4 linked regions of the Tamandua tetradactyla genome follow. The protein of the gene in region 4 binds, or shares a complex with, the protein of the main gene of each other region. Links are inferred from orthologs where the notes say so. Each region holds a gene or a part of one and is shown on either strand. Other genes may lie near its edges. The genes, in order: IMMT, MICOS13, CHCHD6 and APOOL.

The links.
Region 1: APOOL (region 4) and IMMT share a complex: the UniProt entries of both Homo sapiens proteins name them as parts of the mitochondrial contact site and cristae organizing system (MICOS) complex. The link is inferred for Tamandua tetradactyla from reciprocal best matches to the Homo sapiens genes APOOL and IMMT.
Region 2: APOOL (region 4) and MICOS13 share a complex: the UniProt entries of both Homo sapiens proteins name them as parts of the mitochondrial contact site and cristae organizing system (MICOS) complex. The link is inferred for Tamandua tetradactyla from reciprocal best matches to the Homo sapiens genes APOOL and MICOS13.
Region 3: APOOL (region 4) and CHCHD6 share a complex: the UniProt entries of both Homo sapiens proteins name them as parts of the mitochondrial contact site and cristae organizing system (MICOS) complex. The link is inferred for Tamandua tetradactyla from reciprocal best matches to the Homo sapiens genes APOOL and CHCHD6.

What each region holds. Positions count from the first base shown.
Region 1 is NC_135343.1:61,150,111-61,158,763, reverse strand, and holds the start of IMMT (MICOS complex subunit MIC60), read right to left. Parts: upstream 3,139-8,653; 5' UTR 2,931-3,138; coding exon 2,886-2,930; intron 2,570-2,885; exon of another isoform or gene 2,429-2,569; intron 1-2,428. UniProt on the Homo sapiens protein: Component of the MICOS complex, a large protein complex of the mitochondrial inner membrane that plays crucial roles in the maintenance of crista junctions, inner membrane architecture, and formation of contact sites to the outer membrane.
Region 2 is NC_135337.1:76,461,724-76,469,097, forward strand, and holds MICOS13 (MICOS complex subunit MIC13), read left to right. Parts: upstream 1-4,188; 5' UTR 4,189-4,693; coding exon 4,694-4,722; intron 4,723-5,443; coding exon 5,444-5,621; intron 5,622-5,807; coding exon 5,808-5,859; intron 5,860-6,278; coding exon 6,279-6,376; 3' UTR 6,377-6,462; downstream 6,463-7,374. UniProt on the Homo sapiens protein: Component of the MICOS complex, a large protein complex of the mitochondrial inner membrane that plays crucial roles in the maintenance of crista junctions, inner membrane architecture, and formation of contact sites to the outer membrane.
Region 3 is NC_135335.1:29,070,486-29,078,413, reverse strand, and holds the start of CHCHD6 (MICOS complex subunit MIC25), read right to left. Parts: upstream 3,120-7,928; 5' UTR 3,016-3,119; coding exon 2,929-3,015; intron 1-2,928. UniProt on the Homo sapiens protein: Component of the MICOS complex, a large protein complex of the mitochondrial inner membrane that plays crucial roles in the maintenance of crista junctions, inner membrane architecture, and formation of contact sites to the outer membrane.
Region 4 is NC_135353.1:85,011,872-85,019,883, reverse strand, and holds the start of APOOL (MICOS complex subunit MIC27), read left to right. Parts: upstream 1-4,606; 5' UTR 4,607-4,705; intron 4,706-4,711; exon of another isoform or gene 4,712-4,962; intron 4,963-8,012. UniProt on the Homo sapiens protein: Component of the MICOS complex, a large protein complex of the mitochondrial inner membrane that plays crucial roles in the maintenance of crista junctions, inner membrane architecture, and formation of contact sites to the outer membrane.

The sequences.
Region 1 (8,653 bases), on a different chromosome or scaffold from region 4:
CTGAAGAAGGCTCAGGTGCAGAGTTCTGAAGCACACTCGGGAAAAGAGAACACCTCATTCCTGCTGAATATCCATATGCAGGGAATGTGAGGATGATGAGCATACACAAAGAATAAAGTAGATTCTATGAGACGTTCCAAAGCTATGGGGGAAAGGAGGTAACATTCACTTATGGAGAATAAGAAAAATTGATGGAACACATTCATTCTTTCATCCAAGCATGCCACAAGCATTTATTGAGCACCTACTTGGAGCCAAGTACTGTAATACCTATTCTAGGTACTGGAAATACAGCAGTGAACAAGATGGACACAGTCCCTTTGAGGTCCCTTTGAGGTCCCTTTGAGGAGCTTACAATTTAATGGGGGAAACATGCAACAAATATACATTATAACTTTAGGTAGTAGTAAGAGCTACAAAGTAAAAGAAAGGTAAGAACAGAGTGATACAAGAAGGACTGAGTGGTAACAAAGTCTGTTGAAGAAATAATAGGAAGGAAAGCCTCTCTGAGAAGGTTGAGAAAAATAAGCTGAATGAAGAGAGCAAGCTAAGCACAGCTGTGTAGGTAGACTTCCCAGCAAAAGAAACAACAAATGAAAAGACAGGCATGTGCTAGAGATATCAGTGGTATAGTGTGAGGAAGAGTAGAAAAGATATGCAAGAAGCCAGATCACGAAGGGCCAGGTGGGCGTGATCAGGTGTTTAGAATTTATTCTGAGTGTGAAGAGATGTGAAGGGCAGGTATGATCTATATGCTTTTTAAAAGCCTTTACTAACCACTATGTAATAAACTGACAGTAGAAAGCAAGATAAAAAGTAGGAAACATTTTAAATTATGGGATGAAAAGGATTTTAACAAGTGGAATATTCTGGGTAAAGCCGGAAAATTAAAACAAGAATTCAGAAATTTGAGTATAAAGCTCAAAAGAGAACAGAAGAGTGTCATCTGATTAGGGGTTAAAGTTCTGAGAACTGATATAACTCCAAGTATGAGAGTATATAAAGATAAGCAATGAGACTCAGTAAAAGAAACACAGAAAAGAGATGAAGGGTAAAATGGGCCCCAAAACGTTGTGTGAGAGAAGCCAAGAGTTTTATAAAGCAACAATATCAAATGCTGCAGAATGACGGAGGTGAGTGTGAGAATAAACCAACGCATTTTACAAGTTAACAATTTGAAGGTTAGAAGTTTTAACTGAGAGCTTCAGGGTTCACTTTAAAGTTTTAATCACTTTTCTTATTTCCTAATTGGGATCCCAATAAGCAGAAAGTATTTTGATAAAAGTAACAAAAGGAAAAAGTAATTTTGGAGTTTAGGTAAGACAGTCTAGATCAATGACAGCCAAGATGTAAACAGAGAGCAAAATGAGAAAAGGTGTGCCATAACTAGGGCTTTGTGGCAAAAAGAAAAAAAAAGGGTGGGGGGCAGATTTTGCAGATGCAATACAGGTTACTAATAAACTGACTTTAAGTTAATCAATTAGGATGTTATCCAACTGAGCCCGAACTAATCACATAAGCTCTTTAAATTAGGGTCTGAGGTAAGAATCAGGAAAAGAGAGATTCTAAAGTCAGAGAGACAAGTTACTATTGGCCTGGAAGAAAGCAAACATCCATGTTATAAACTCCCTATGGGAGTTTCAAAGCAGGAATTGTCAGCAGCCTCTGACAATAGTTGCAGGGAAACAGGAGTCAATCTTACAGCTGCAAGGAACTGAATTTTGCCAACAAACTTAATAAACTTGCAAGAGGATACTCAGCTCTAAACAAGAACATACCACAGCTAACACTTTAACTGCAGCCACGTATGGACCCTGAGCTGAGACCCCAGCTCAGTCAGTCACGCCCAAACTTTTAATCTACAGAAATTGTACGAAAAACATGGGCATTGTTTTGAGCTGTTAATTTATTAAGCAACAACTGAAAATTAATACAGCCACACTTTCACACAGAAAAGGCTGCTTCTCTTTTCCACGGCAACAAATGCAGAAAGACACAAACCTGGAGGGAAGCAAAAACAAAAATCAAAGTTTGACTTTTATGTCCTCTCTCTCCGTAGGCCTACAGATTTTGTTCAATTACTGCAACACATCTCACTGAACTACCAATCCGCAGTAAACTCTGAACAATGGAAATAGCCCTACTTTAAAAAAAAAAAAAAGTAATGTTAGTAAGTTACTTTGATTACTCATGAAAACTTAAAGTGGTTTGGTGTCTAGGCTCCTTGAACGTCGGTCAAAGTTATGTCAGCACCTGGAGACACAGGCTAACCTTAGACCTCAAATCAAGGTCATGACTCCCATCCTTTCTCCATTAACAGGAGTTTGGGCTCCAAAAGCTAGACTCTTTCAACTCTGCTTAGAGTAAGAATAGCTCCCAGGTATTCTCTGTTGGGAAAGAAGGGCAGTCCCTCCCGGGTAATTACAACCTTGAGCCCAGCAGTTGTAGGCACCTGCTCACTGCGGCAGCACCCAGGATGGGCCACCGCAAGTGCTGCTGGGAACGGTAGTCCAGCCCTCCGACCTTCACCTAGCCGCGCGCGTCCAACCCGCGACGGCGAGCCATAGCCGGGATTGGGTCGTGACTGGGCCGACACGGGGTTGATTGGACCGCACAGCCCGAAGCCCCGCCTAGCCCTGTGCCCGCCTCCCCGCCACTTAGCCACACCGCCGGCTTCAACGATAACCCTCGGGTCTCCAGTCACCCCAGTCGGTGGACTCCCGAATTCACTGCCGCACCAGCCCCTCCCGAAATGCTCGCTAGGAGGGCGGCCCTTAGACGCGCGTCGAGCCGGGGCCTACGCAGCGCCAAAGCCACCCCAACTTTCCGTTAGCGGCCCCGAGTCATTCGCCTCCGGGGCTCTCTCCCAGAGCCCCTGTATTCACCTGGGCGGCGGCGGTCACGCCGGACAATTGACAGACCCGCAGCATCTCGTTGGCCGGGTGAACAGCGCGGCTGGAGTACTAGACAGCTATCGGGGCGGTGCGCCTAAGGGAAGGCGTGTGGGCAACAGGGCGGCGTGCGTGCGTACGTCCGGCGCCCCTCCGCGCCGCAGTCACCGGAAGACCGACCAACGTCCCTGCGCACACGCAGCTCCATGCCCCGCCCCTTGCCGATAGAATGGGCTAACTCGGAAGCGGGGCTGTAGAGGAGATTACGAGTCGGAGACGATTGGTGGAAGGAGGCGGAAAGGGCGACTTTTGTTTCCGGGTTACGTGCGGCTCCAGCTCTGTAGCCCCTCGCTGAATACGGATAGGTCTGACACTGCAGAGAATTAAAGCAAGGAAGCTCAGCGGTGTTTGTCAGCTGAATATTTCGTAGAAACGAATCGGTTTGGCCAGACTTACTTAAACAATGCTTTTGTCTCGGTTTGCGTATGTTTCGCTTGACAGCCCTTCAGGGATTTACCCTGACTGCAGGAGATGGGTGAACTGGATGGACTGTTGTGCAGAACGTATTGTTCACGTTATCTAGTGTCAGGGCAGGGGTAATAATCTGTATGGTCGGACTCCACAGCTTCTACTCCTTCTAGATTGAGCCTCTCACCGGTTTCTCCATCAAGTTTTAATTTCAAGAGGGTGATTTTGACCGGGTCTGTGGAGTAGATTAGAAGATAAGGAGGTCAGTGCAGACGCACTGTTGTGCAAAGTATACCGCTGAATCTATAATCAAACTACGACATTAAATATTGAACGTGGCATTCATTACTACTAGTAGTATTAATCTTATAATCAGAACATTATCGAAACTAAGTTATCTGACAAGTATCTTTGGTTTATCTAATAAATAGCCTGTGTCGTGTATTCAAATTCTTTCTAGTCTTAACTAGGTAATTGATGACATAGTATCCTACCCAAAGGTAAAGAGCAATACTACTCCCTTTTGTAAAATGGAGAAATGGATTTTAAAATTATCTAAAATCAAATAATTACTTACATTTGCGTATATCTTATGCTATCAGGGTGCTTTAGTAATTGCATTTTATCTCTGTTATGCATCTTTGCCACCCAACAACTACAGAGTGTTTTCCCAAGTTCCTAAGTAACTTTAGTGACTGAATCATGATCTGTCCGTCTCTGTCCCTCTTCATCACTGTCAGGCTTGGGTAGTGCCATTTCGATTACTCTTCTGACATCCTGGCTTTGAACTTCTTAGTGCCATTGAGCAATTTCATTCAGCCCTATCCATGTATGGGACAGCCATATCTTGGGTTTGAACATCATTAGTGACCCTTCTGAAGTTAAGATCTCAAACCCCCATTTAGCCTCTCACTTATTTCCTACCCTTTTACTTACCCTTTCTCTCAAGTCCTTAATCTCACAATCCACATGGAATTTTTCAGATCTATTCATTGTTATGCTTTAAAATATTATCAGTACACACCGATGTTCATAGTGGCATTATTCACAATTGCCAAAAGATGGAAGCAACCCGTGTCCATCAACCAATGAATGAATAAATAAAATGTGATATGTACATACAATGAAATATTACTCAGCCATAAAAAAGAAATGAAATCCTAATTCCTGTGACAACATGAAAAGCCCAGAAGACATCATGTTGAGTGAAATAAACCAGACTCAAGAAGGCAAATATTGTTTGATTTCACTGATATTGAAGAATTAGAATAAGCAAATCATAGAATCAGAATCTAGGGATGGGGTGGGAATAGGGAATGAAAAGTTAAGGCTTAAAATATACAGGGTTCTTGGGTGAACCACCGTGGCTCAGTGGCAGAATTCTTGTCTTCCATGGTGGAGACCCAGGTTCAATTCCCTGTGCCTGGCCATGCAAAAGAAAGAAAAAAAAAAAAAATATATATATATATATATATATATATATATATATATATATATATACACACAGGATTCCTGTTGGGAGTGATGGATATGTTTACATAGTGGTTGGTGGTGATGTTAGTGCAACTTTTTTTTACTTTTTTTGTGAAAAATAACACATATACAAAAAATTTGAAAGCACATCACAACAATTAGTTGTAGAACAAATTTCAGATTTTGTTATGGGTTACCATTTCACAATTTTAGGTTTTTACTTCTAACTGCTCTAAGATACTGTAGACTAAAAGAAATATCAATATAATAATCCAGCAATCGCATTTACTAAACCCTACCTTCTCTGTATAACTCTACCATAACTGTTGATCTTTCTCTCACTCTTAAGGGGTATTTGGGCTGTGCCCATTGTAACTTTTTCATGTTGGAAGGGGCTATCAATAATATGGGATAGGGAGACAGAATTAACTGATGTTCTGGAGAGGTTGGCCCCTCTGCATTTCAGGATTTATCTGGTTCAGGGACCCATCTGGAGGTTGTAGGTTTCTGCAAAGTTACTGTACTACATAGAACCTTTGTAGAATCTTATATAACACCCTAGGGGTTCTTTAGGATTGGCAGAGTTGGGAGTTGGCAAGTTATTTTAGGTAGCAATGTTTAACTAAAACTTGCATAAATGTGATCTCCAGGGTAGCCTCTCTCAGCTGCTGAGACCTGATTTGTTAAACTTCTTTTCTCCCTTGTGATCAGGATGGCATTGTTGATCCCATGGTGCCATGGCCAGGTTCATCTCTGGGAGTCATCTCCCGTGTCACCAGGGAGACTTTCACCCCTGGATGTCATGTGCCACATAGTGGGAGAGGACAATGATTTCACTTGCAGAGTTGGCCTTAGAGAGAGAGAGGCCACATCTGAGCTTCATGGAAAGCCTTTCAATCCATTGTTTCTCACCCACGGGGAAAACTGACACAGGAGACTCTTTCCTTCTGACAGGAGGCCAGTTTGGTATGAGAAAATCTGACTGGTATAATACCTAAGTAGACCCTCCTAAGGGGAAAAAAAGGCACCATACAGGCAGGGCAAGAAACAAGAAAACAAGAACTGAAAAATTCTCATCTGTTAAACAAAACTTAAGCTAGAGGTGTGGACTAAGCTGAACTGAAGGTCAAAGAACAGATAGACAAAGTCATCCAAGAAAATTCTAGGTAAGAAAAAGTGAAAACAATCTCCAGAATAAACTAATTAAGTAAATTAAATGCCTAGACACCAGCAAAAAATAACGAATCATACTAGGAAAATTGAAAATATGACCCAGTCAAAGGAACAAACCAAGAATTCAAATGAGATACAGGAGTTGAAACAATTAATTCAGAATGTTCGAACAGACATGGAAACCCTCAACAAAAATCAAATAAAAGAATTGAGGGAGGATATAAAGAAGGCAAGGAATGAACAAATAGAAGAAATCAAAAGTCTGAAAAAACAAATCACAGAACTTATGGAAATAAAAGGCACAGTAGAAGAGTAAAAAAAAAATGGAAACCTACAATGTTAGACTTCAAGAGGCAGAAGATAGGATTAGTGAACTGGAGGGCAGGACATCTGAAATCTGACAAGCAAAAGAAAATATAGTGAAAAGAATGGAAAAATATGAATAGGGACTCAGGGAATTCAATGAGAACATGAAGTGCACAGATATACATGTAGTGGGTATCCCTGAAGGAAAAGAAAAGGGAAAAGGAGGAGAAAAACTAATGCAGGAAATTGCCACTGAAAATTTTGCAACTCTTATGAAAGATTTAAAATTACAGATCCAAGAGGTGTAGTGTACCCCAAACAGAATAGATCCAAATAGACATACTCCAAGACATTTACTAATCAGAATGTCAAAGAGAAAGAGAGAATCTTGAAAGCATCAAGACAAAAGCAATCCATCACATGCAAGGGAAGCTCAATAAGGCTATGCATAGATTTCTTGGCAGAAACCATGGAGGCAAGAAGACAGTGGGATGATATATTTAAGATACTAAAGCAGAAACACTACCAACCACTAATTCTATATCCAGCAAAGTTGTCCTTCAAAAATGAGGGGGAAATTAAAACATTTTCAGACAAAAAAAATCACTGAGAGAATTTGTGACCAAGAGACCAGCACTGCAAGAACTACTAAAGGGAGTACTAGAGACAGATAGGAAAAGTCAGGAGAGAGAGGTGTGGTGAAGAGTGTAGAAATGAAGACAATCAGCAAAGGTAAAGAGAAGAAAAATTAGGTATAATATATAAAATCCAAAAGGCAAAATGGTAAAAGAAAGTACTGCCCTTACAGTAATAACACTAAATGTTAATGGATTAAACTCTGCAATCAAAAGACATAGACTGGCAGAATAGATTAAAAAACAGGATCCATCTATATGCTGTCTACAGAAGACGCATCTTAGACCCAAGGATAAGCATAGGTTGAAAGTGAAATATTGGGAAAAGATATTTCATGCAAACAACAATCAGAAAAGAGTAGAAGTAATTATACTAATAGCCAACAAGTAGGCTTCCAATTTAAAACAATTAAAAGAGACAAAGAAGGACACTATGTATTAATAAAAGGAATAATTCAACAAGACATAACAATCATAAATATTTATGCACTGAGCCGGAGTGCTCCAAAATACATGAGGCAAATGCTGAAAAGAGAAATAGATACATCTAGTATAATAGTTGGAGACTTCAATTCTCCACTCTCATCAATGGACAGAACATCTAGACAGAGAATAAAATATTTAGGAATAAATTTAACTAAAGAGACAAGAGACCTATATGAAGAAAACTATAAGAATTTTTTAAAAGAAATCACAGAAGACCTAAATAAATGGAAGGGCATACTGTGTTCAGGATTGGAGAGTATTTGAATATTACAATAAATGAGCTAGACTTAACAGATATTTATAGAACGTTACGCCCCACAACAGCAGGATACACCTTTTTTTTTCAAGTGCTTATAGATCATTCTCAAGGATAGACCATATGCTGGGTCACAAAGCAAGTCTCAATAAATTTAAAAAGATTGAAATAATACAAAACACTTTCTCATATCATAAAGGAATGAAGTTGGAAATCAACAAAAGGCAGAGTGCCAAAAAATTCACAAACATGGAGGCTCAACAACACACTCTTAAACAATCAATGGGTCAAGGAAGAAATTAGAAGAGAAATTAGTAAATATCTCGAGGCAAATAAAAATGAGAACACAACATATCAAAATTTATAGGATGCAGCAAAGGCAGTGCTAAGAAGGAAATTTATTGCCCTAAATGTCTATATCAAAAAAGAAGAAAGAGCAAAAATCGAGGAATTAACTGTCCACTTGGAAGAACTAGAGAAAGAACAGCAAACTAGCCTCAAAGCAAACAAAAGGAAAGAAATAACAAAGAGTACAGCAGAAATAAGTGAAATTGAGAACATGAATACAATCGAGAAAATCAACAAAACCAGAAGTTGGTTCTCTGAGAAAATCAATAAGATTGATGGACACTTAGCAAGGCTGACAAAATGAAGAAGACGGAAGATGCAAATAAATAAAATCAGACATGGACGAGGAGACATAACCACAGACCCCACAGAAATAAAGGAGGTAATGAGAGGATACTATGAATAACTTTATACTAATAAACCAGACAATGTAGATGAAAAGGACAACTTTCTAGATAGGCATGAACAGCCAACATTGACTTGAGAAGAAATAGATGACCTCAATAAACCAATCACAAGTAAAGAAATTGAATTAGTCATTTAGAAGCTCCCCAAAAAGAAAAGTCCAGGACCAGTTGGTTTCACATGTAAATTCTACCAAACATGCAAGAAAGAAT
Region 2 (7,374 bases), on a different chromosome or scaffold from region 4:
GTGCCGGAGGCCGTGGTACCTTCCTCTGAAGTTCTGTGTTCGAATCCCGCTCTGACCCGCCCCACTACCCACACAATGAGCGGCTCACTCCCTCCAAGCTCGCCACGTTGCAAGCCTCTTCCAATTACCCCCTGTCCAGAGCGCCAGGGCCATGGGCAGGCACCGAGCTGTGAGGACACCACCTCCCAGGGAGTCCTTGTCGGCCGCCAGGCTGGACAGCCCAACGAGGTCGGCTACACGTAGCTCAGGAGGTTCACCTGCCGGGGGCGCCTCAGAGTGACCCCACCGAGGCGAGGTCAGAGGAGGGGGCGGGGCCCAGGCCCGGAAGAGGGCGGAGCCTGGGTCCCGGACGCGAGGGGTGGGGCGACGGTCAAGAGGCGGAGCCTAGGCCCGGAATGGGTCCGGGACCAGGGAAGGAGGGAGCGGAGCCTAGAGAAGGGGGCGGGGACAGGGATGCGAGAATTTGCGCGCGAACCTGGGGACGGAGTCCTTGCCAGGAAAGGGGCGGGCTCTGGGGCCGATGGGGCGGGGCATCTTCATGAGCCAGATTGCAGCCTGGGCACTGCGAGCCCGCTGGTCGGCCGAGGCGGCGCCGACGTAGGTTCAGGACCCGAAGAGGCCGGTCAGCCCAGGGCTAGTCCCTGAGGCCCCACCCCCTGCACCCGATGAGACCTCACCCCCAACCCCCACCCCGATCTGGCCTAGGGCTCCGACCCACAAGCTCCACGCCGAGTGATGCCCTCTAAGACCCCTGAGGTCCCGCCCCAAGCCCGACTCCCCGGATCCTGCCAGGCTTCGCTCCCTTTGCAAAGAAGCACCTTCCAGAGCGCCGTCCCCGCGTGCGACGAAGTTCTGCCACTGGCCACGCCGCTCGGCGGGCACCCGTCACCGCCACTCCTTCACCAGGCTCGGGACCTGCCTCAGGCCCCGCCTCCACCCAGCCTGTCCCGGCAAACTGCACCGCGTGCTCGGACGCCTCGGGCGAGGCCATGTCCACGGGGATATAGAAGACCTCGGGGGTGGCCAGCATCCGGCAGGTCCCTACCACCTAGGGGACCAGAGCTGCCCCTGAGCCCCTCCGCCCCAGCTGGCCCCACTCACCTACCGGACATCTTGGGTCCCCACAGCGAAGCCCCGATTCTGAGCATTGGGTCCTGCTCAGTATCAGCCCCAAAACACTGGGCTCCCAAACTGGCAGCCTTGGGACCAGGATGGCTGGGCATGTTTTATGTGATCAATCACCCACCATCGAAAACTCCGGAGATGGCACATAACTCCGCAGATTTGGGGCTTCTCTTGAAACTGTGGGAAGTTTGTGCCCAGGATAGTTCTTGGGCTGCTGAGAAGCTTCCACCAGCCCTCCCAGACCGTTTTTGAGTTTGAGAAGCCTGACATGGGGCACAGGCTTTGGACACATTCAGTATTCCTATTTATTGCTTCCCACACAACACCAGAACCCATGAGCAGGCACTTTGATCGTCTTCATTTTGCAAAGGAGGAAACTGTGGCCCAGAGAGGTTAAGCAACTTGCCCATGGTCACACAGCAAGCAGGGATGGGAGCAGGACTTCCAACTAGGCCTCCGTCCCCCTACCATCAAAGGTGTCCTGGGGTGGGGTGGCTCACCTTCTGCAGGAGACCCTGGCGTGGGTGGTGAGCACCAGGTGGGCATAGCAGTATGCCAGTTTCTTGGCCACACCTGCACTGGCACCTGTCAGCAGCACTCAAGCTCCCTGGAGGCTGGCCAATAGGGAGCAGAGGGGATAGCCTGCGGGGTGGGCAGGACAGCAGACCTGACAAATTCCCCCACCCCCATCCTACACCCATGCACCCACCTGGGTCGAAGCTGTCATCCCAGTAATAGGCAAAGAGCTGGGCCCTAAGGCCCATGAGAAGCAGCACCTTCATGGCTTTTCCAAAGCCTGCTGGGTCCCATTTCATTTAGCATAAAACTCCAACACCAAAATAGCCACATACACAAAAAAAGTCAGGAAAGGACCCTCACAATCCCTTCTGCCAGGCCAGCCTCTCTGACACTACTCAAGCCAGCCAGGCACCAGCCTGCCCCAGGGCCTTTGCACTCGCTGTCCCCTCTGCTAGAAAGCTCCTCTGAACATATCCAAATGGCTTGCTCTTTCCCCTTCCTTCAAGTCTGTGTGCACAAATGACCTCCTCAGAGGGGGCTTCCCTGGCCTCCTTTTCTAAAGCTCCCCCCCTCCTCATCCCTCTCTCTAGCACTTTGATCTCCTTCTCAGCATCTGTTGGCCCTTGAAATTATAGGGACAATCTGTTACGTTTTCGGGCCCCTCGTCCAGTAACAGATCAGTTTACTTACTTCTGTTTCGCTCACTGTGTCTTTAATGCCCAAAACAGTGCTAAGTACACAGTAGGTGCTCAACAGATAACAGAGTAACAGAGAGTGATATGAAGATTGTATGAGACGAGAGCTGGGGGAGACATCCCAAAAGAACTGGACAGCCAGGGCTGGCTGGTGACATCTGGGTTAGCTGTAACTTCAGGCCCATCACATCTGGGGTTTCTACCCTCTGAACGCCAGAATCTAGAAGGCTGACAGAGCCTAGATGGGGTGGGGAGCGGGTGTTTGGGGAGACCCTAAGTCTGTAATGTCTACATCAGCCCCATGGCCTGAGCCCCTACTGCAAAGCTCCCACCACCTCCTGGGTGTCACCCTTTGGCACCCTTCGTGCCCTTAGATGCAGCAGGGCTCAATCTGAGCTCAGCATCTGAAGCCAAGCCTTTCATGTCACCATAGCAAACTCCCCACTATCTCCCATTGCCAAGTCAGCACTGACCTCATGTTCTAGTTTGCTAGCTGCCGGAATGCAATATACTAGGAATGGCTTTTTAAAAGGGGAATTTAATAAGTTGCTAGTTTACAGTTCTAAGGCTGAGAAAATGTCCCAGTTACAACAAGTCTATAGAAATGTCCGATCTAAGGCATCCAGGGAAAGATACCTTGGTTCAAGAAGGCCAGTGAAGTTCAGGGTTTCTCTCAAGGGAGAAGACACATGGCGAACACAGTCACAGTTTCTCTCTCGGCTGGAAGGGCACATGGTGAGCATGGCATCATCTGCTAGCTTTCTCTCCTGGCTTCCTGTTTCATGACGCTCCCCAGGAGGTGTTTTCTTTCTTTCTTCAAAGGTCACTGGCTGGCAAACTCTCTGCTTCTCATGGCTATGTTGCTCTCTGCTCTCTCAGAAATCTCCATTTTCCAAAATGTTTCCTCTTTTATAGGACTCCAGAAATTTATCAAGACCCACCCAAATGGGTGGAGACATGTCGTCACCTAATCTAGTTTAACAAATACTTTTGATTAAATCATCAGGGAGATCTAATTAGTTTCAAACATACAATGCTGAATAGGGATTAGAAGAAACAGCTGTCTTTACAAAATGGGATTAGGATTAAAACATGGCTTTTTGTAGGGTTCATACATCATTTCAAACCAGCACGCCTCACTTCCTCACAGCCTTTTCCCCACCATGGTCTGATGGTGCACGGGTATTGCCAGTTCTCCCTCCAAAATCTTTCTCCAACTGTCCCCTCCTCTTTGACCCCAGGGCTCCCAATTTCACTGCTTCCCACCTGGACCCTTTACGGAGGGGGGGGGGGGGCCCTGCCTGAAATGCCCACGGTTCCCTGACTCCCACTTCCACCCAGCCTCCCCATTCTACATATGCTTCCCACCACTCCTCCTGGGATTCCCCACCTCCAACCCAGGCCCCCCCACCCCCGACCTCCCACCCCATCCTCTCCATGAAGCCAGCCAAAGGAGGCGGGATTTGACAGAAGGCCTGACAGATGGATGGACGGATGGACTGATGATGGATGGATGATACAGCTGGGTCGGGAGGCGGGAGGTGTGCCGGGGAACAGGCTCCTTACAGAACCCACTGGTCCCTCAACCTCGTCAGGACTCAGTTTCCCCTCTGGGCCAAGGGAGCGTGCAACGGACTCACCCACTCGGGCCTCAGTTTACCCCGCTGTACAGCCAGGCGCGCGGCCCCCTCGCTTGGGGCCCGAGTCACGTGACCCCCCAAGCTCACGAACCCCTTCGGGGGAAGGAGCCAGACAGGGGGTGTCTCCGTGCCCAAGCGTTGCCATAGTAACGGCTTCCGCGTGGCTCCCTGGCCCCGCCCCTCGGGGCGCATTCACGTGTTCGCGGTCTATCCTCTCGCCAACAATTCCGCCCTTGTGTTGCCGTGACGACTGCTCTCTAGGCGTGCTCCCCGAGGAAGGGAACATCAGTACCCCGCGCGGGCGCGGGTGGATCTCCCGGGCTCCGAAACTTCCTTCGGTCCCCCTCAGTCCTCGCTCTAGACTTCCAACACCTCCATCCCTCACGCCGCGGGAGCCCGGCCAGGCGGGACTACATTTCCCAGGAACTTTCGCGGCCGGGTTTACCGTCCCGCCGCTGCCTGGGGCGCTGCCGACTACACTTCCCAGAAATCCTTGCGGCGGTCAGGGCAGTAAAAACTACATTTCCCAGCGGCCGTTCGCGAGGGTACCAACCACCCTCCCAGGGATCTTAGAGCCGGGACAGTAGTCTAGGCCTCCGACTCCCGGAGGGCTTTGCGGCTGCCAAGAAAAACTACACCTACCAGAGGCCTCTGCGGCACACTACCGGAAGCGGCGGGCAAGGCGGGTGTCCTTGTGCGAGGAACCGAGCGACTATGGTGCCCCGAGTGCTGTCGCTGATGAGGTGCGTGGGACCGCCGGTGCGATGAGAGAGTCCCCTCTCCTCCCTCCAGCCGCCCGGGTTTAGTCCTGACCTACTGTTCGCTTCCCGTAGTGCCAGCGCCGTCCCTCCACAATGGGCCAGATAGGGAAACTGAGACTCGGGCGGGGAGGACTTGCCGAGGCCACCTAGCGTTTCCCTCCTGCCTCCTAGCCTCGCCCCGATCTCGTGGCTTTTTGCATCCGAGACGCCCCTCCGAGCCTCAGTTGCCTCTTCTAACACATCTAGACCCTGCGGAGTTCTTATTGGGAGGCCAGTCCGCTCCTGGAGTGGCGCGTGACGTTCAGGAACCGCTCGGGGACGTTAGGACACCCCCGCGGGTTGTTCACAGAGCATCCCTCCCTGGCCTGGAAGCTAGAAGGATCTTAAGTTCTTCCCTTTCCCTTGTTCCCTTGAACAAGAGACCTTGAGGGACCCGCTGCCCATTTCCGGGCCTCGGTTTACCAGTTAAATGGTGTTGGAAGTCTCTGCTTTGCACCCCGGAAATGTAAAACCGTGCACAGTAGGGGTCAGACACGCCTCTGGGTTTCCACAGCATCCTGTACTTCCTCTCTGAATTGCCTAGATATAGGTGTGTCACCTTCTGGGTTAGGAACCCCAGGAAGGCCCAATTCCTCCCTGTGGATTTGACAACTGAGGGCAGCAAGCTTTCCCACTGATCTGTCACTCCCTGTGCTGCCTGCAGGTTCCTCATCAAGGGCAGTGTGGCTGGGGGCTCCGTTTACCTCGTCTACGATCAGGAGCTGCTGGGGCCTAGCGAGAAGAGCCAGGCGGCACTTCGGAAGGCCGAGGAAGTGGTCCCCCCAGCCATGTACCAGTTCAGCCAGTACGTGTGTGAGCAGACGGGCCTGCAAATGCCCCAGGTACCAGGAGCTGGACATGAGGCCAGGGCGGGTGGGGAGGGAGGTAAATTTAGGGGTCACTAAAGAGCCCTTCAGCCCTGCTTGGTATCCTGTGCACTCAGGGGTGCATATTCCTCCCTCTGCCTTGGGAGGCATGTTGAGGGCTGCCGAGCCCTTCCCTTCTCACTAGCCCCTTTTTCTTTCCAGCTCCCGCCTATGCCAAAGTTTAACCTTCCCATCCGCGATTCCTGGAATTCAGGTAAGCACCTGGTCCCTGTGTTTGGGGATGGTGGGGGTTGCCCTAGCCTAGACCCCAGAAACCCCAATCTCCATGCCTTCCCCCTCCCTGCTTCCTGGTCCCCTTTTCCATTTTCTCCCTACTACATATGTGCCTTCCACAATTTTAAAAGAGGGGAAGTGGGAACACAGAGAAGTCTCTTGGAGCTGGGCTGGGCATTGCCGGGCTCTAATGGGAGCCGTGGATCAGGAGGTTGGAGGCCTGAGGCCATATCAGATCTCATCCGGTGACCTCAGACAAAGCAAGGCCCTACCCTTCCTCTACCTCAGTTTCCCTGCATGCAGTTGATGGGCAACTCCCCAGCCTTGAGTTTCCCGGGCAAAGGCGAAGGGGAAGCTTCCTCTGCTGGGCCCTTATCAGGCAGCTGTATCTCCCAACAGGTATCATCACAGTGATGGCAGCTCTGTCGGCCGCCCCCTCCAAGGCCTGCGAGTACTCCAGGGAGGGCTGGAAATACCTGAAGGAGCGTACCAAGTAGTGTGTTGGACCTGAAGACTCCAAACTGGGACCCTACTCCAAGGGCAGCTCATGGCCTGGCAGGCCCAATAAAGGACTTCAGAAGTGCCCCTGACCCACGTGCCAGCCCTGGGGCTTTCGGGGTGCTCCAGCTCAGGCCTGCCTGGCCTTGACCATGGGCTAAGGTTCACCCCAGTCATTGCTTCCTGGCCCTGCCCACCAGGGCCCTCAACCTGGCTGGGAGTGTGAGAGCAGAGGATTAATCCTGGTGCTCTCTGGACAGTGCTCTGGGCCCCGGGAGAGAGTTGAGAAAGTGCAGAGGGCGAGTTCAGGTTTAGAGTGGGGCGATGTCTTGGTTTGTGGAGGGCTGGGCTCAAGGTGGGGCATTCCAGGAGCAGCAGCTCAATGGGGCAGGCAGAACTCACCATCTGCCCCAGCCAGGAGCCCTCTCCAAGACCCCTGCCTTACCTTGCCATCCTACCCTTTTCTGGCCTGGTGGTTATTACTATTTGGGGGTCCCTGAGACACCTGCCCTGCACTGGCTCAGCTGCGTACTTCCCCACCGTCTCAGTTTGCCTAAGCTGCACTGACAAGCACTACCCCATGGGTTGGCTTATACGTCCGGGGTTTTTTTTTGTTTTTTTTTTTAACATGTCACAGGTGTAGTGCCCAGAAATGCCAAATCAAGGCATGGGCAAGACCATGAGTCCCCTTGGAGCCTGCAGTGTTGTGGCGCCAGTTTGCCGCAATTCCTGGGGTCCCTTGGCTTCGTCGCTGCCTCTATCACACGGTGAGGTCCTGTGACTTACTCTGATCGACTGTGCCCGAATTTCCTCTCTTTATAAGATGTCTGGGAATACGAATTAAGACCTGTTCGATTCAATTCGGCCGCATCCCTAATAGGTTCTTATTGGCAAATGAGTCCACACCTTGACCAATAAGCATCCTCAAAAGGTCCTGTTTACAGATGGATTCACAACTGCTAGAAAGCAGTATGAGATTCAGAGTATGTCCTTTGTT
Region 3 (7,928 bases), on a different chromosome or scaffold from region 4:
ATGTGTTGTGTTCGCTTAATGGAGGATGAGGTTAAATGTGCTGGTCGAAACAAAATCTTTATGTATTTTACGCATGCTTGCTCTCAAAACTGGAGCTGAATATGATTGCAGTATTTTGCATTAATTAAATTTCTTTTCCATTCCAAGGAATTAGGGCTTGAACAGCTATTCAAATATATGCAAACAAGAATGTAAATTAGCAAGGCCCTGGCACTTAATTTTTAGGGGACTAGATCATGTTCTAGGACCAGGCCCAGGAGATTAAATACAAGTCATTAAGAATATTAAACTTTCTCTGAAGGAGCAGGGGCAAATATTCCCTTTTCTGCCCATTAAATTAACTTCTCATTTGTCCACTCTGGTACTCTCTGTTGTTGATCTTTTCAATTGATATTTGCCTTACTAAAGGCAGGATGAGCACCCTGCCTCTCAAGGAACTTTGCTAACAGGAAAAGCCCCTTCCTTGAAACAATTCATTATCATCACCCTCCTTTCTCCTCTCCTCCCCTTTCAAACCAGCTACACAAGCAAGCAGAAGGAAGGTAGTGGCTCTGAAAGCATGAGGCTGCGGACCTCAATGTATGCTCCTGGGCAAGTCATTTACTGATTTATTTTCCCAGCTGGAAAAGGAAGCAGTCAAATTAAACAGTTAACTAGAGTTCCTTCTAGTTTTAAGTCTCGGATAGAAATAAGTGGGGCACCAGTGTCCCTTTCAGGACAGAGACATTGTCGTTTTTCAGACTGCCTTGCATATCACGGGATGGATGGAACTGGGAGTAAGTCAGGGAAGGGTTTATTTTGCAGCCCAAAAGATCCAGAATAAAGTTCCAGAAGTTACTCCGGCAATACCTTAGACAAATTCCTTAACTTCTTAGCCTGATTCTTCATCTTTAAATAGAAATTATACATTTTAAGGAGAATTGGTAAGAGAATTAGAAATAAAATGTTCCCGTTTGATGTAATACTTCAAAAAGATTACCCTCTGTCCACTAAAAGAACCTCCAAAGGGACTCCACCAAACCTCAGGAGACTTCAACTTATCTAACTTTTCAACATTCCCAAAGGCAAGAGATGAGGTAACACAGGTGGCAGAACACCCAAATGGAGCCAAGAGTTTCTTTCTAAATTCCAGTTAGGTTCCAGAAAATCGATCTTTTACTATAAGCCATCTCCTCCCCACTGGAACCTTGACACAAGCCAGGTCAAAACAATATGACCTATAGAGCATCGAAGTGCCAACCAAGTACTGTGTTAGGCTAAGAACAGAAGCTCCGCACAAAGCACTCTGTACTTTTTCTATCCACTTTCCCATACATCTTCATCTTATCCTGGGCAGAACTGACAGTATCTCTACATTCCCATTTTTTCCTTTAGATAAGGTGACTGAGGCTCAAAAGTAAGGTTGTTCACCTAAGAACAACAGCTAATGAGCATCTGGGTGTAGAAGTCAGAGCTCTTCAAGTCTTTTTCTGATCTACCTCCCTCCCCAATGGACTAATTCACTTAACACCCAGCTCTGTACATTCTATCTAAATATGGTCCCTGCTTCACTGGGTTAATTCATGCAATCACTCAACTAATATTTACAAAGCACCCACTATATAGGAGGAAGTATAGAGCAGCAGTTCAAGGAACAGGCCTGGGATTGGCCTTCTTCAATCCGAGCTCTCCCACTTGTTAACTAGGTGGCCCTAGATAAGTTACTTAACCTCTCTGTGTCTCAGTTTTCCTTAATCTTCAAAATGGGGCTAACAGAATGCTGCCTATCTCATATGCCTGAGAACTAAATGAGATTATACCTATAGACAGTTTACCACAATACACACCCCGCTCTAAGCACTCAAATATGAGCTGCTTTTATTATCCTAGGTTTGGGAATTGGGTAGCGAACCCGCCAATAGCCTCAAAGAGCTTATGCTGTAGTGGCAGACACAACAAAGGAGGTAAACAAATAATCAATATTAGTTTCAAATTGTGATGAGTGCTATGAAAATAATAAACAGGGGGGTGCGGGAGTTAGAAGCTACTTTAGATTTAATGTTCAAGGACAAACTCTCTTAGATGATATTTAGCTACAACATCAGTGACAAGCCAGCTAGGTACAAGAAAAGCTGAGGAAGAGAAAAGAGCAAATGGTGAGGTCCTGAGCTTGTAGCTGGCATCTCCTACCAAGAGTAAGGAGGCCCATTGTGACTAGAAGGGGATGGGAGGCCAGGGAACTATTACCAGATGTGGTCAGAGGGGTCGGCAAGGAACAGGGGAGCTTTGTAAAACAAGACAAGGCATTTTCTCTTTACTTTATATGTGCTTGGGATCCACTGGCAGATTTTAGGCAAGGAAAAGGGTATATGATCTGATTTACAGCTGTTAAAGGGGCCCTTTGGCTGCTGCGTGTCAAATGGACTGTCCAGGCAGTCCAGTGTTGCAGTGGTCCATGATCGGAAGCATCTCAGGCATACACACAAGACACGCGCGTGCAAAGAGGAGGGGTGGGGCGGAGGACATTCAGGAAGTGTGACAGTTAAGTCAACAGGAGCTGTGATACGTGGCCCAAGGCTTCCCTCGCATCCTAGTGGCCTCCCCGCTTGTCCCCTTCTTCGCCGGCGCCCAGGTCGTGGTGAAGCCTGAAGACCGCCGGCTCTCGGCTCACGTCCCAGCGCAGTCACTCCTGGACGTGCGACCCTAGGCATCTACCGAGCCTCATTTTTCCTCTTTGGCAAAGTGTAGGGAGAAAGACTCGCCACCAGGCAGTTGACTGGACTCAACGAGCGCCGCGCGTCAGGCCCCCGCAAGGCCGCTCTCTCGGCCCCCGCGTCCTCCCCACCGCCCGGCCCGCGGTCCCCCGCGCCCTGAGGAGCCCCAGTGCCCGCCACGACCCAGGCCGCGCCCGATCGCTCGCTCGTGGAGCCCACCGGCGGCGCCGCTCACCCGGATGCCCTGCAGCACCCGGACTCGCTCCTCTTCGTCCATTCCGAAGGACACCCTGCGGCCCTCGCTGCTCTCAGCGTTGCCCATGGCAAGAGGCTCCAAAGCCACCAGGTAGCCGCCAGACTCCAGGCGCCTCACGCTCCCTACACTTTCCAAGACTCGCGGCTTCCGCCTCAGCCCTCCTTGCCGATGTGAACCAACAAAGCCACGTCCTATTGGCTGCCGCCCGAAGCTCAGCCAATCAGGTGTCGCGGCACCCGTGTAGTCTCACCGGTGCCAGGCTGTGGGAGGCCGGTGCCCGGCGATTCGCGCGGACCCAGAAAGAGGGCGGCTAGGGGCAGGAGATCTTGAATGAGAAGCTGAGGAGCAGGGCAGTTATGGTCTAGTTCCCGCTTTGAAAAGATCGATCACCTTGAAAGCAGAGCCCAGGGTGAGGTCCCGAGGCCACAGACCACCGAGAGAGCTGAGCCTAAGGTCTGGGGACGAACTTCTGATCATTGATTACTTCTTGAGCAGAACTCATCCAGCGCCTAGCTCCCGGGAACCCAAAAATCACAAGACTTACGCTTTTGTGGGGTTTTCAGTGCAATGAATGAAGCAAATGAAAACAAAAATAGGCAAGTAAATAAACTTACTAACCTACTGCAATAAGTACTATGCAGGGAAAACTGCATCAGGATATCGTGAGAGAAATTAAAAGGAAGGGGCCCACTTTAAATTGAGAGGGCAAGGAAGGCCTGTCTGAAGAAGCATGTGACTTGAGACTGAAGGATGAGTGGGGAGGAATAAGTGCAAAGGCCCTGAGGCAGAAAGAGCTTGCCACGTTCAAGAAAAGAGGGCCTGCATGGCTGGAAAGCAAGAGGTAAGAAAAGGAGTCCCATGACCCCCAGGGGTGTGGACATTCCTGGCAACGTGGGACAGAAATCCTAGAATGAGCTAGGATTCAGCATCAAGGGATTAAGAAAACCTTCTGGACCAAAGAGGGAAGAGCGAAATGAGACAAAATAAAGTGTCAGTGGCTGAGAGATTCCAAACAGAGTGGAGAGGTTATCCTGGAAGTTATTCTTAAGCCTCATACAAATAGGACAGAAGTGCCTGAAACTGCAGAGCTGTGTTCCAGTAGCCATGTTTCTTGAAGATGATTGTATAATGATATAGCTTTCACAGTGTGACTGTGTGATTGTGAAAACCTTGTGTCTGAAGCTCCTTTTATTTACCGTACAGACAGATGAGTAAAACATATGGATTAAAAAGAAATAAATAATAGGGGGAACAAATGTTAAAATAAATTTAGGAGATTGAAATGCTGGTGATCAATGAAAGGGAGTGGTAAGGGGTATAGGAAAAAAAATAGGGGAAGCAAAGGCTAAAATATATTGGGTAGATGGAAATACTAGCAGTCAGTGACAGGGAGGGGTAAGGGGTATGATATGTATGAGTTTTTTTCTTTTTCTGAATTGATACAAATATTCTAAGAAATGATCATGGTCATGAATATACAACTATGTTATGATACTGTGAGTTATTGATTATATACCAAGAATGGAATGATCATATAGTAAGAATGTTTGTGTTTATATGTTTTTACGTTTAAAACAATTTAAAAATTTAAAAAAAAAAAGAAGAGTAGTCCCAGATGCAATGAAGTCGGAGGAACAGGCAACGCCAGATCTTGTAGGGCCTTGTAGTCCAGGGTCATGGATTGCATTTTATTCTAGATGCCTTGTGAGGACGGCAAACAGTCCCAAGCAAATGGGAGATATTGTCCAGCAAGCATGCATGTCATATACAAAGTACGGTGTGTTTGTACTTCTTATCCACAATGTTATATATAGTGGAGAAACACAAATAATTGCTGTTACAGCCATAGCTATCATAAATAAAGACCCCTTGTGTTCATCTAAGATGCTGAATAACTTTGATTTGTTAGTGTGGGCCTGGAACTGAGTTTGGAATCTAGAGCTGGAAAGTATTGGGTTGCTACATGAAAGAGCAAGAAGTGTTTGGAGCTCCTTTTGGCAACCAGGGAAGGAAAGGGTGAAGAACACAGAATGGAGTAGAGACCGCTGAGACATTCTGAGGCTTGGGGTGAAGAAGTCAGTGAACATTTCCAGAGGCAGGGCAGTCAAGAGAGACTGTCAGGAGCAAAGATATCTGCCAGTTTCACTTCAAATATTTGAATTTGAAAATCCCCCTCCATCTCTTCTTCCCTATAAGCAAAGCCTGAGTCAAAATTCCAATGCAAGAGGTTTACTGGGGGAGTATCCTCAAGAAAGGAAATGAAAGAAGCAGAATAAAGCAGAGGATAAACACTAAGTAAGGATGTCGTCTCAGCAGAAGGCTATCTTCAGCCTGATCCCATGGGGGACTCTGAAGCACAAATTGCACCACAGAATTGGTCCCACAGTGAGGCAAGGGGGTCAGCCTTCTGTATCCCCCACATCAGTCATCATTGGTGGCCCAGGGCATTTTTCCAGAAAAGGGGCCAGCTATGAACTGCCAACAGCCCAATACCCACAACAGGTGCTGGTAAAGGTAACCTGGGTAGAACACTATCAGCATCTACTACATGCTCCAAATATTTTTCAGAATCTCCAGGACACTTACATTTCTTCTGTGATTGTAAGAGGAGGTTTTGAGGAAAGAGCTGGATTTCACTTCTGGGTCAGGTGATGATATAATTAATACACTGAACTAATTCAGCAAAACGAAAGTCAGAGCCAAGGGTGACCATAAGACTGTGTGCAAAATCTTGGGAGGTAATTTTGAATTCCACAAGGCCTAGAGTAGGCTTTACCCTTAAGGCATAGGTAAGCTTCATAACAAAGCAACAAGTTCAATATCCCCATTTCACAGATAAGGAAAACAGAGGGGCAAACAGGCTAAGATATTGTAACAATAAATCCAAAGTAGGATGAGGATTCGAATAAAGGCAGTAGCAATAGGAATGTAGAGAAAAGGAGAGGAAGGGAAACTCATATTTTTTCAAGTACCCACTTTGTGCTAGACTCTATGGCACATATGCTTTTCATGAATTTAATCCATACCATCTCCTTTGGTCCTCACAGATACCCTGCCAGCGTTATTCCTCATTTTAAAGCCCAGGAAACCGAGACTCCGGGGAGATAAAGTGGTATAACAGGCCCAATAGTTGCTGCCTGGTACCCATTCTCTCTTTCTTCCTTACAATACAACCCCAATTCCTTTAGTGCAGGAGTGTGACTAATTAAAAAATCTAATCTCCTAGGCTCCCACTGACCAAAATTGGGACAGTTTTTTGAACATCAAAAAGAATACAGAGAGTAATGGCTTACAACGCATTTAATTTTTTAAAAATCAATTAGTTCATTTTGATATAAGAGTGTGAGAACAAACGAGTGAGAGAGAGAGAATGGGGGAAAAGGGGGAAAACTCTTCTTTACAAAAGAATACCAATTAATAAATGCAGAAGGAATGTCAGCTTAGAAAATCACCATTTTGCAGCCCTCAGTGAATGATTCAGTCAAAAATCATTAATGGATTCTGAAGCAGTTGGGTGAAAGGTTATTAGGTGTTGGGGATTGACTCATGTTTCCCACAAAAGACATTTCAAGTCCTAACTTCCAGTCCTATAGGTATGAGCCCATTTGTAATGAGAACATTTGAAGATATTATTATTGGTTAAGGTGTGGATTCATTTGTAAATAGAGTCTTTGAAGATCTTATTTACCTGAGACCAAACTGAATCCGGGCGGTGGGGGGGGGGGGGGGGTCTTAATCCATCTGACTGGAGTCTTTATTGCAGAGGAAGTTTGGATAGAGTTAGTAGAAGCCACAAGAAGCCAGAAAATGAAGCTGATTGCCATATAAAGGAGGAACCCCATGGAGTGTGGCAAGCCAGCAACAGAATGCTACAGACAGCAGAATGCAGCAGAAAGCATGGACAGTCAAGACCTTGATTTTGAACTTCTGGCCTCCAAGACAGTGAGCCAATAAACTACTATTGTTTAAGCCAACCAGTTCATGATATTATCATAGCAGCCCGGGAAAACCAGGACATCAGGGAACAGGATATTCACCCAATTCCCAAGTCTCACCACAGATTTCTTATTAATTACAATGGGAAAACTGGAATACAGTAACAAATGGCCAAATTTAGCATCACATATAGTGGGATAAGCTGACACAATTTCCCTTCTGATATAATGCAATAAAAAGTATCCTACCTCTCCTGTAGAGTATTCTTGCCAAAAGTATGTAAATTGGATCTAATCCAGAGGAAGCAATCAGACAAATCCAGAATGTGAAACTTCCCACAAAACTGGCCTGGACTTTTTGGAAAAAAGTCAATCTCATGAAAAACAAAACAAAAAAGGTGGTTTAAAAATGATGAAAGAAGCATCACAATGAAATGCAACAGTGAACTTTAATTGGATCCCAGATTCCTACAACAACAACAACAGAGCTATAAAAAAGATACTTGGGACAATTGGAAAAATTTGTATATAGAATGTGTTTTAGATGACATTATTGAATTAATGCTAATATTCTTGGATTGGAAGTAAAGTGTCATGGTATCTGCAACTTGTACTCAAAATGGTTCAGAGGGAAAAACAGGCAAGTCTAGTTGAAATATATTGGGAATCCATTATGTTATCCTTACAATGTTTGCCATTTTTCAGAACAGAAGAAAAGAAAAGAAAAGTCTGCACTTGGGGGGTAAAAACAATACTTACCTCCCCAGACTCTCTTCTCCCTGACACCTGGAAATGACCTAGCTCTAGCCAAGGAGGCTTGTGACAGTATGGTCACCTGGAGGTAGAATAGCACAGCCCTATAAAAAGTGGGCTCTGATATGAGATCAGGTTGCAGATCTGTTATTTGCCTCTTTCTAGATCTGTGACCTTGGGCAAGTTATTTCATCTCTCTGTGCCTTAGTTTTCTGACAGATTTAAGAGTGGGGTCCATATTATGTGGTGAGCTTGCCCAGTGCTTGGCACTTAGTGACCTCATCCCGTGAT
Region 4 (8,012 bases):
CTGAATTTAAAATTCAGAGGTATAGTAATTCCTAGTGATAAAGTCGAGGGGGCAGTCATTATGCTCCAGTAAGTTTGTTCCCTCCTCAGAGTCTTCACACTTGCTGCTCTCTGTGCTTAGAACACTCAAATATTCACATAGGTGGACCGTCTTGTTAGGTCAGTTTCACCTCCTTGAAGAGTTGTTTTCTGTCCTTCCAATTGAAAGTAATTCCTACTCCAACCCAGTCATCACCTATAGTACTTAACAGCCTCCAAAACGAACTTGTTTTTTCTTGATAAAAAATTTTACACTTAAACTCCTCCAGTCTAGAGTTTGCCTATGTTTTATTCAGTGCTTCATGCCCAGCATCTAGAACAATGCCTGACAGTGATGCACCAAAGGTAGGGGTGGGAGTGCATGACCCTGAGTGTAGGCAATAAAGGGGTTGGATTATCTGTTAGAGAACTTAAAAAACAGTAATTGTTCTAGTTTGCTAGCTGCTGGAATGCAACACACCAGAGATGGATTGGCTTTCAATAAAACGGGATTTATTTAGTTAACATATAGTTCTTCAGAGGAAAGGCAGCTAACTTTCAACTGAGGTTTTTTCCTTACATGGGAAGGCACAAGGCAATCTGTGCTCGTCTTCTCTCCAGGCCTCTGGGTTCCAACAACTTTCCACGGGGTGATTCCTTTCTGTATTGCTGAGCTGGAGTGCTGAGATGAGGTATGCTGAGCTGCTTGGGCTGTGCTACATTGAGCTCTCTCATTTAAGCACCAGCCAATTATATCAAACATCATTCATTGCAGCAAGCACACCTCTTAACTGACTGCAGATGTAATCAGCAACAGATAAGGTTCACATGCCATCAGCTCATGTCCACAGCAATAGAACTAGGCACCTTCACCTAGCCAAGTTGACACCTGAACCTAACTACCACAGTAATAAAATGTAATAAAGTCATTGTGCTGTTAATCATCACACACTGCCAATTGTAAACAATAATGATAACAAAATCTTCTTCTAACAACCTATTTTTGGTGTAAGTACCTAAACAATTTTTGTGGTTACTATTGAGTTTTAATAATATATGTCATATTCAAATTATTTATTTTAATAACCTATCCTTTAAAAGACATTGTATTCAGCATTAAAATTAATGTGAAGAATTCCAAGTTTTACAATAGATTTCTAAAACATGAAGGCTGTTATATGCATTTCTTCAAAGGATAATTTCACAAAGGTTCTGAATTGTTGGAACTCTTCTTGGGTGCAGTTTATGTCTGCAGCCCCTGTAGTACTGCATATCCCTGTGTTTAAACAGTAGATTAGAAATAAAAAATGATCGCTCAAGTGATTGCAAAAGAGAAAGACATAGAACCTGGATTACTTTAGTTTTGCCATCTATGTGACCACTGTGTGTGTGTGTGTGTGTGCATGCTTATTTATTTGTGCTAAATAATTTATTTATTAATTTATACTATAATTTATATATTTAAATATTTATTGAAACAATTAAAAATATTTACATATTTAAATATAATTGTTTAATAATTTATCATGTTTTTGTGTTTAAAAGTTTAGACAGTGAAGGAGACAGCTAACTATGAGGTGTACTATTTTTGTTTTGTCAATTCAACTTTTAATTTACATATAAAATATTTTCTTGAATTTGAATTTTTCTGGTGTGAAACTTTAGTTGAGGTTAATCAGATAGAAAAATATTTAAAAACAGCCAGAATCAGTGGTGAACAATGCACAGATTAAAAACTAAGCTTTAAATTGTTCCTTGAAGATTGGGTCATAAAAATTGGGAAGAAAACTATTTACTATATGTTTTGGTTTGCTAAAGCTGCCAGAATGCAGTATACCAGAAATGGGTTGGCTTTTATAATGGGGATTTATTAGTTTATAAATTTACCATTCTAAGGCCATGACAATGTCCAAATTAAGGCACCAACAGGATGATAACTTCTCTGAAGAAAGGCCACTGACATCTGGGGTTCCTCTGCCAGACAGCAAGGCACATAGCTGGCATCTGCTGATGGTCCTTCACTTCAGGGTTCCATTGCTCTCAGTTTCTGATTTCAGTGTCTCTCTCTCAGCTCCTCTAGGGAGTTTCTCTTTTTGCAAGCTCTCTTGGCTATTCTGTGTTTTATCCTGTCATAAAGGACTCCAGTGAAGGATAAAGACCCACCTCAGATGGGCTGGGTCACCTCTCAATTGAAACAATTTAATCAGAAGGTAACACCCTCAATGGGTCTGACCCCATAGGGATGGATTAAAAGAACATGGCCTTTCTGGGATACATAGTAGCTTCAAACCAGCACACTATGTGTCTCAGTTTGCCAGGGCTGCTATGACAAATACCACACAATGGATTGGTTTAAACAACAGAAATCTATTCTTTCTTGGTTTCAGAGGCTAGAAGTTGAAAACAAAGCTTTTAGCAAGGTCATGCTTTCTCCCAGAAGACTAGCAATCTGCTGATGGCTTGTCATAATCCTTGGGGGTTTTTTGGCTTGCATCTTGGCCTCCCCTCACATGATGATCTCTTTCTCCTGGAATCTGCTCTTCCGGTTTCTGCTAAATTCCAGTTTCTTCCTTTGCTTTTCTCTAATTTTATTCAAATTTCCTGTCTTTGTAAGTCCTTCAGTAATATAGATGAAGACCCACCCTGATTAATTTTGGCCTTACCTTAACTAATAATAATATCTTCAAAAGGTCTTATTTACAAATGGGTTCATGCCTACAGGAACGTGGATTAAGATTAGGAACATTTCTTTTGCTGGAGTACATGACCCAATCTACCACACTATGCAACTTCATGATATAAGGAAATCGACATTTACATGGAAAAATAAATTGTAATGTACAATAGAAGGAAAAATGACATAAGATGTCTGTCTGACATTGCCAGAAAAAATCAAAGGGGCAGTATTTGAATACTCAGCTGTTTGCACAAAGCACTGAATACCTATTCTAAAGCATTGGATCAAATGATGTCAAAGTTTCCCCTCATTCAGATATTTTCTGACTTTTTACAGAAGAAGAAAAACTTTTAAAGTTTTTACAAACTACTATAGAAATGTATGATTCATTTTAGGGGGAGATACTTTAGGTGAAATTTTCAACTGTGGAAAATTTGAATGCCCATAGATTTGATCTTGAAGAAACAAAGACATGAGTGGTATTGTAATTCCTGGAATTTTTGTGAAATAAGATTTTATGAATCTCTTTCAAAATTATTCACATATTGAGACTTTTCCTAATTATTTGTATAAGTGTTGCTTAATGTGGAAGTAACTTTATTGATATTAAAATTAGTAGAAAATGTACATCATCTATGAACAAACATATATTGACAAATCAGTCTATATCATCTATTGCATATGCAGAGATGATCAGTTTTGATGAAGTCATTGAAAAATATGCAGATATAAAGGCTCAAAACAAAATCTGTGATATTATTATTTGTTAGTGTGGTAGACCAACATGTATATATCAGCTTTTCCTCTTTTGAAAAATATAACTCACTTAAAATGTATTGATCATAACTTTTTTCTAGTTCATTTTTGTATTATACTATTTACTTTATTTTCTGTTTTATTTTTATGCTGACATATATATTTATGAAGTTCACTAAAAGAAAATTTTCACTTTGTGTTCTTAAAAGATTTCATGATTATTTGTTAAAATAATTTTGTTATATAGAGGAGGGGGCTGTTAGAAATGATGTTCTTTGGGTATCAGACATGCTAGGTATGCCACTGATGCATTTAATATATCGTTTGCATTTAATAAATATCTGTTGAATAAATGAATTAATATTGGGAATGTTAATGGGAAGATTATAAACCCCTTCTTTCTTCAGAATCATTCACTAGAGGCCTAGGGGACCTTGTACTTATTGAGAATGTTGCACCTACCCACAGGATATTTTCCTTACACCATCCTAATCATCTTCTTAAAATCTAACTTAGATCATGGCATACCTCTGCTCAACAATCTCCAAAGACTTACCATTTTATTCAAAATAAAATCCCAAATCCTTATCGTGGCACAAAATGTGCCCGACACAATGTGTAATTTCACTACTTCTTAATTTATCACTCCAGTCACACTGATCTTTTTCGTTGCTTTTCCTTCCTCATGGAATGCTATTCTCTACATTCCTTCAAGTCTGTTTTCAAATATCATCTTTTCCAGTCTTTCCCTAATCTATCTAAACAAGTAATCCCCGACCCTATTTCTGTTCCGTACCCTGAAAAAGTGCCTGCCACATAGTAAGCGCTCAGCGACAGTCCGAATGATTGAACTTGCCCATGTATCGAGGAAATAACATGTTTCTTTTTTAATAGTTATTAAGGCAGCTGAACTTAGGTATTAAGTCCTTACTGAGACAAATAATTTATGTCTGAAATGAAAGGTTCTGAAACCACAAAACAGCTCTCAACTGGAGTATGGAAAACGTTCTGAAGGACTTCCTCTGGGACTGGGAGATTCAACCGCGAAGATAAAACCTTTCCAGAAGACAGCCAACCAACTGTAGTAACTTGTCGGAGCTGTTCCAGGAGGGCGGAGAGAAGGCGGGAGTGGGCAGGTCAGGGACGTAATGGGGCGGGGCTGCCGTACGCAAAGCCGAGGTGAATTGTTTTGTCCCTCTCTGCTCTTCGTATAAAAACTTGGGCAGCGAGGGTCACAGACGTGTCGACCATTACGGTAAGTGAAAAAAACCTAGCTTACTTTTTTGGGTGCAGATAGCCTTGTAATAACTTAGAAGGGATCCTCCTAACTTCAGAAGGTAGCCGTAGAGCAAAGGGCCGGGTGGAGGTAGGGTTGTAGGAAGATCGGCAAGGTCAGGGAGTCGATATTTGAAATCCAGATCCTCGAAATCCAGGCCTCAATTTGCCTTCAGAGTTTTCTCTCCGTGAGACTGCTTTCTCTTCAATTGCCTGCGGTTAACTTCTTATACAGAGGTACGGTAAAAACTGGAAACGGCTGGGTGAGCAAGGCACCTCTGTTGCTGGGCGACGAGCCGCAACAAAGGTTTGAATCTTGAGCTGGAACAAATTAAAAAATAATCGTGGGCATAACCCTATTGAAGGACTTTGTTCAAATATTATTTCGGGCGAAATAAACCAGGATAGAGACGCCCCAGAGCCTCCTTGCCAGTGCGCGGGTTTATACGTACTGCTACACTGTAGATTCAAATAGGACCTAAGTTTCTTTTGACTTCTATAATGGGAAAAGGCACCTTTACTTAAAGTCTTTGTACAGGAAATGACTCAGCTGGCTGCTACAGTTCCCTAACAGGGTTTCAATGGCAGCAGTTGACGATATTTACCTCGCGAGTTTCAAGTGTTAAATATTCTGCCATGCTCGCAGGAGATTCAAATATGAATAATTCAGGTTAGCCAAAGTTTATTTTAAGTCTGCTGAATATGTGTCTTGAATAGTCATCCTCACAGCATTTCTGAAATTCAGGCTTTCATAATTTATCTGAATTATTGCAATAGCGTTCTAATTGGACCTGCCTCTAGCCTAGCCCACCAGGAATCCATTCTCCTCTGCGCTGCCAGAGTAATTCCATTAAATACGAATCTGATTATGTCCCTTACCTACTTAAAACTCTTTATTGGCTCTCTGATATCTGTCCTCTAAAGTCAGGTTCAGACTGTTATGCCTAGAATGCGAAACCCTGTCTTGACTCTCCAGTTTCTTTTGCCACTCAGGACCCCTCTCCCATCAATACTGATCTACTTGCTTCACCGCTCCGTAATTTTTAACCTGTTCTTTCTCTGGGCCTGAAGTGCCCTTTCCCATCTTCATCTACTTAGTTCCTACCCATAGTTCATCAATTCATTTAATGTACATTTGAGCGCCTTCCCATATGATAAGCACAAACTACTTTTCCAAGAGACTGTCCCCAACCTCCCCAAAGGTTCCTGGGCTACTCTTACCTTAGCATTTATCCACTGCAAAAATTGAGTATTTACTTGTCTGTTCTGCTCTCCTAAATTATAATCTCCTTGGGTCAGTAAATATGACATAATAATCTTTGTATTCTCAATACCTAGCACAGATCTGGCCTAAAATAGGTAATCAGCAATTCTACATGAGTAAATAGGTGCCAGGAAATGATGATAGAATAGGTTAAATTAAGCAGTGAAGATACAACAAATGACTGTGATTCAGAGAAAGGGAAATGCCTTGCTTCAGGAGAAGTAGAGAGTGCTCTGAGGGTTTAAAAGAGAACTCACTCTTGGTTGAGGGAATAAAGAAAAGCGTCACCAAGGAGGTACAGAGATGGAGAAGGAATAGTCAGTGTTAGAAAGCAAATCGGAATGGTGTGTTGTCACTGAAACCTAGAGGAAGAGAGAGTTGAATGTGTCTTTTTATTTGACCACTAAGAAGTCACTGGCATTACACTACATAACCAGTGAACCCTAAGTTAAACCATGGACTTTGAGTAATAATACACTTGTAAAAAATTGCAACAGATGTTCCACAGCAAAGCAAGTTGTTGGTGGTGGGGTGCTATATGGGAATCCTGTGTTTTATGCATGTTTTTTCTGTAAACCTTTGATTTTTCTAATAAAGAAAAGCCACTGGCAACTACCATTTATTAAATGTTACTACAGTCCAGGCACTGTGCCCAAATACTTTACACATTATTTCACTTAATTCTTTTTTTTTTAATTTTTTTATTAATCAAAAAAAAGAAAAGAAATTAACACAACATTTAGAAATCATTCCATTCTACACATGCACTCAGTAATTCTTAGTATCATCACACAGATGTATGATCATCATTTCTTAGTACATTTGCATCGATTTAGGAAAAGAACTAGCAAAACAGCAGAAAAAGATATAGAATGTTAATACAGAGAAGAGAATTAAAATAATAATACTAATAAAAAATATATATATATAAAAAAAGGAAAAAGAAAAAAAAACAAAAGATACAAACAAACAAACAAACAAACAAAAAACCATATTTCAGGTGCAGCTTCATTCAGTGTTCCAACATAGTTACATTACACTGAGGTATTATTGTGCTGTCCATTTTTGAGTTTTTGTATCTAGTCCTGTTGCACAGTCTGTATCCCTTCAGCTCCAATTACCCATTATCTTACCCTGTTTCTAACTTCTGCTGGGCTCTGTTACCAATGATATATTCCAAGCTGATTCTCGAATGTGGGTTCACATCAGTGGGACCATACAGTATTTGTCCTTTAGTTTTGGGCTAGAATCACTCAGCATAATGTTCTCTAGGTCCATCCATGTTACTACATGCCTCATAAGTTTAGTCTGTCTTAAAGCTGCACAATATTCCATCGTAGGTATACGCCACAGTTTGTTTAGCCACTCGTCTGTTGATGGACATCTTGGCTGCTTCCATCTCTTTGCAATTATAGATAATGCTGCTATAAACACTGGTGTGCAAATGTCCGTCTGTGTCTTTGCCCTTAAGTCCTTTGAGTAGATACCTAGCAGTGGTATTGCTGGGTCGTAATCCATTCTGCCATTCTATGTCTTTTGATTGGGAAATTCAGTCCATTAACTTTTAGTGTTATTACTGTTTGGATAATATTTTCCTCTACCATTTTGGCTTTTGTATTATATATATCATGTCTGATTTTCCTTCTTTCTACACTTTACTCCATACCTCTCTCTTCTGTCTTTTTGTATGTGACTCTAGTGCTACCTTTAGTATTTCTTGCAGAGCTGGTCTCTTGGTCACAAATACTCTCAGTGACTTTTTGTCTGAGAGTGTTTTAATTTCTCCCTCATTTTTGAAGGACAGTTTTGCTGGATATAGGAGTCTTGGTTGGCAGTTTTTCTCTTTTAGTAATTTAAATATATCATCCCACTGTCTTCTAGCTTCCATGGTTTCTGCTGAGAAATCTACACATAGTCTTATTGGGTTTCCCTTGTATGTGACAGATTGTTTTTCTCTTGCTGCTTTCAAGATCCTCTCTTTCTCTTTGACCTCTGACATTCTAACTATTAAGTGTCTTGGAGA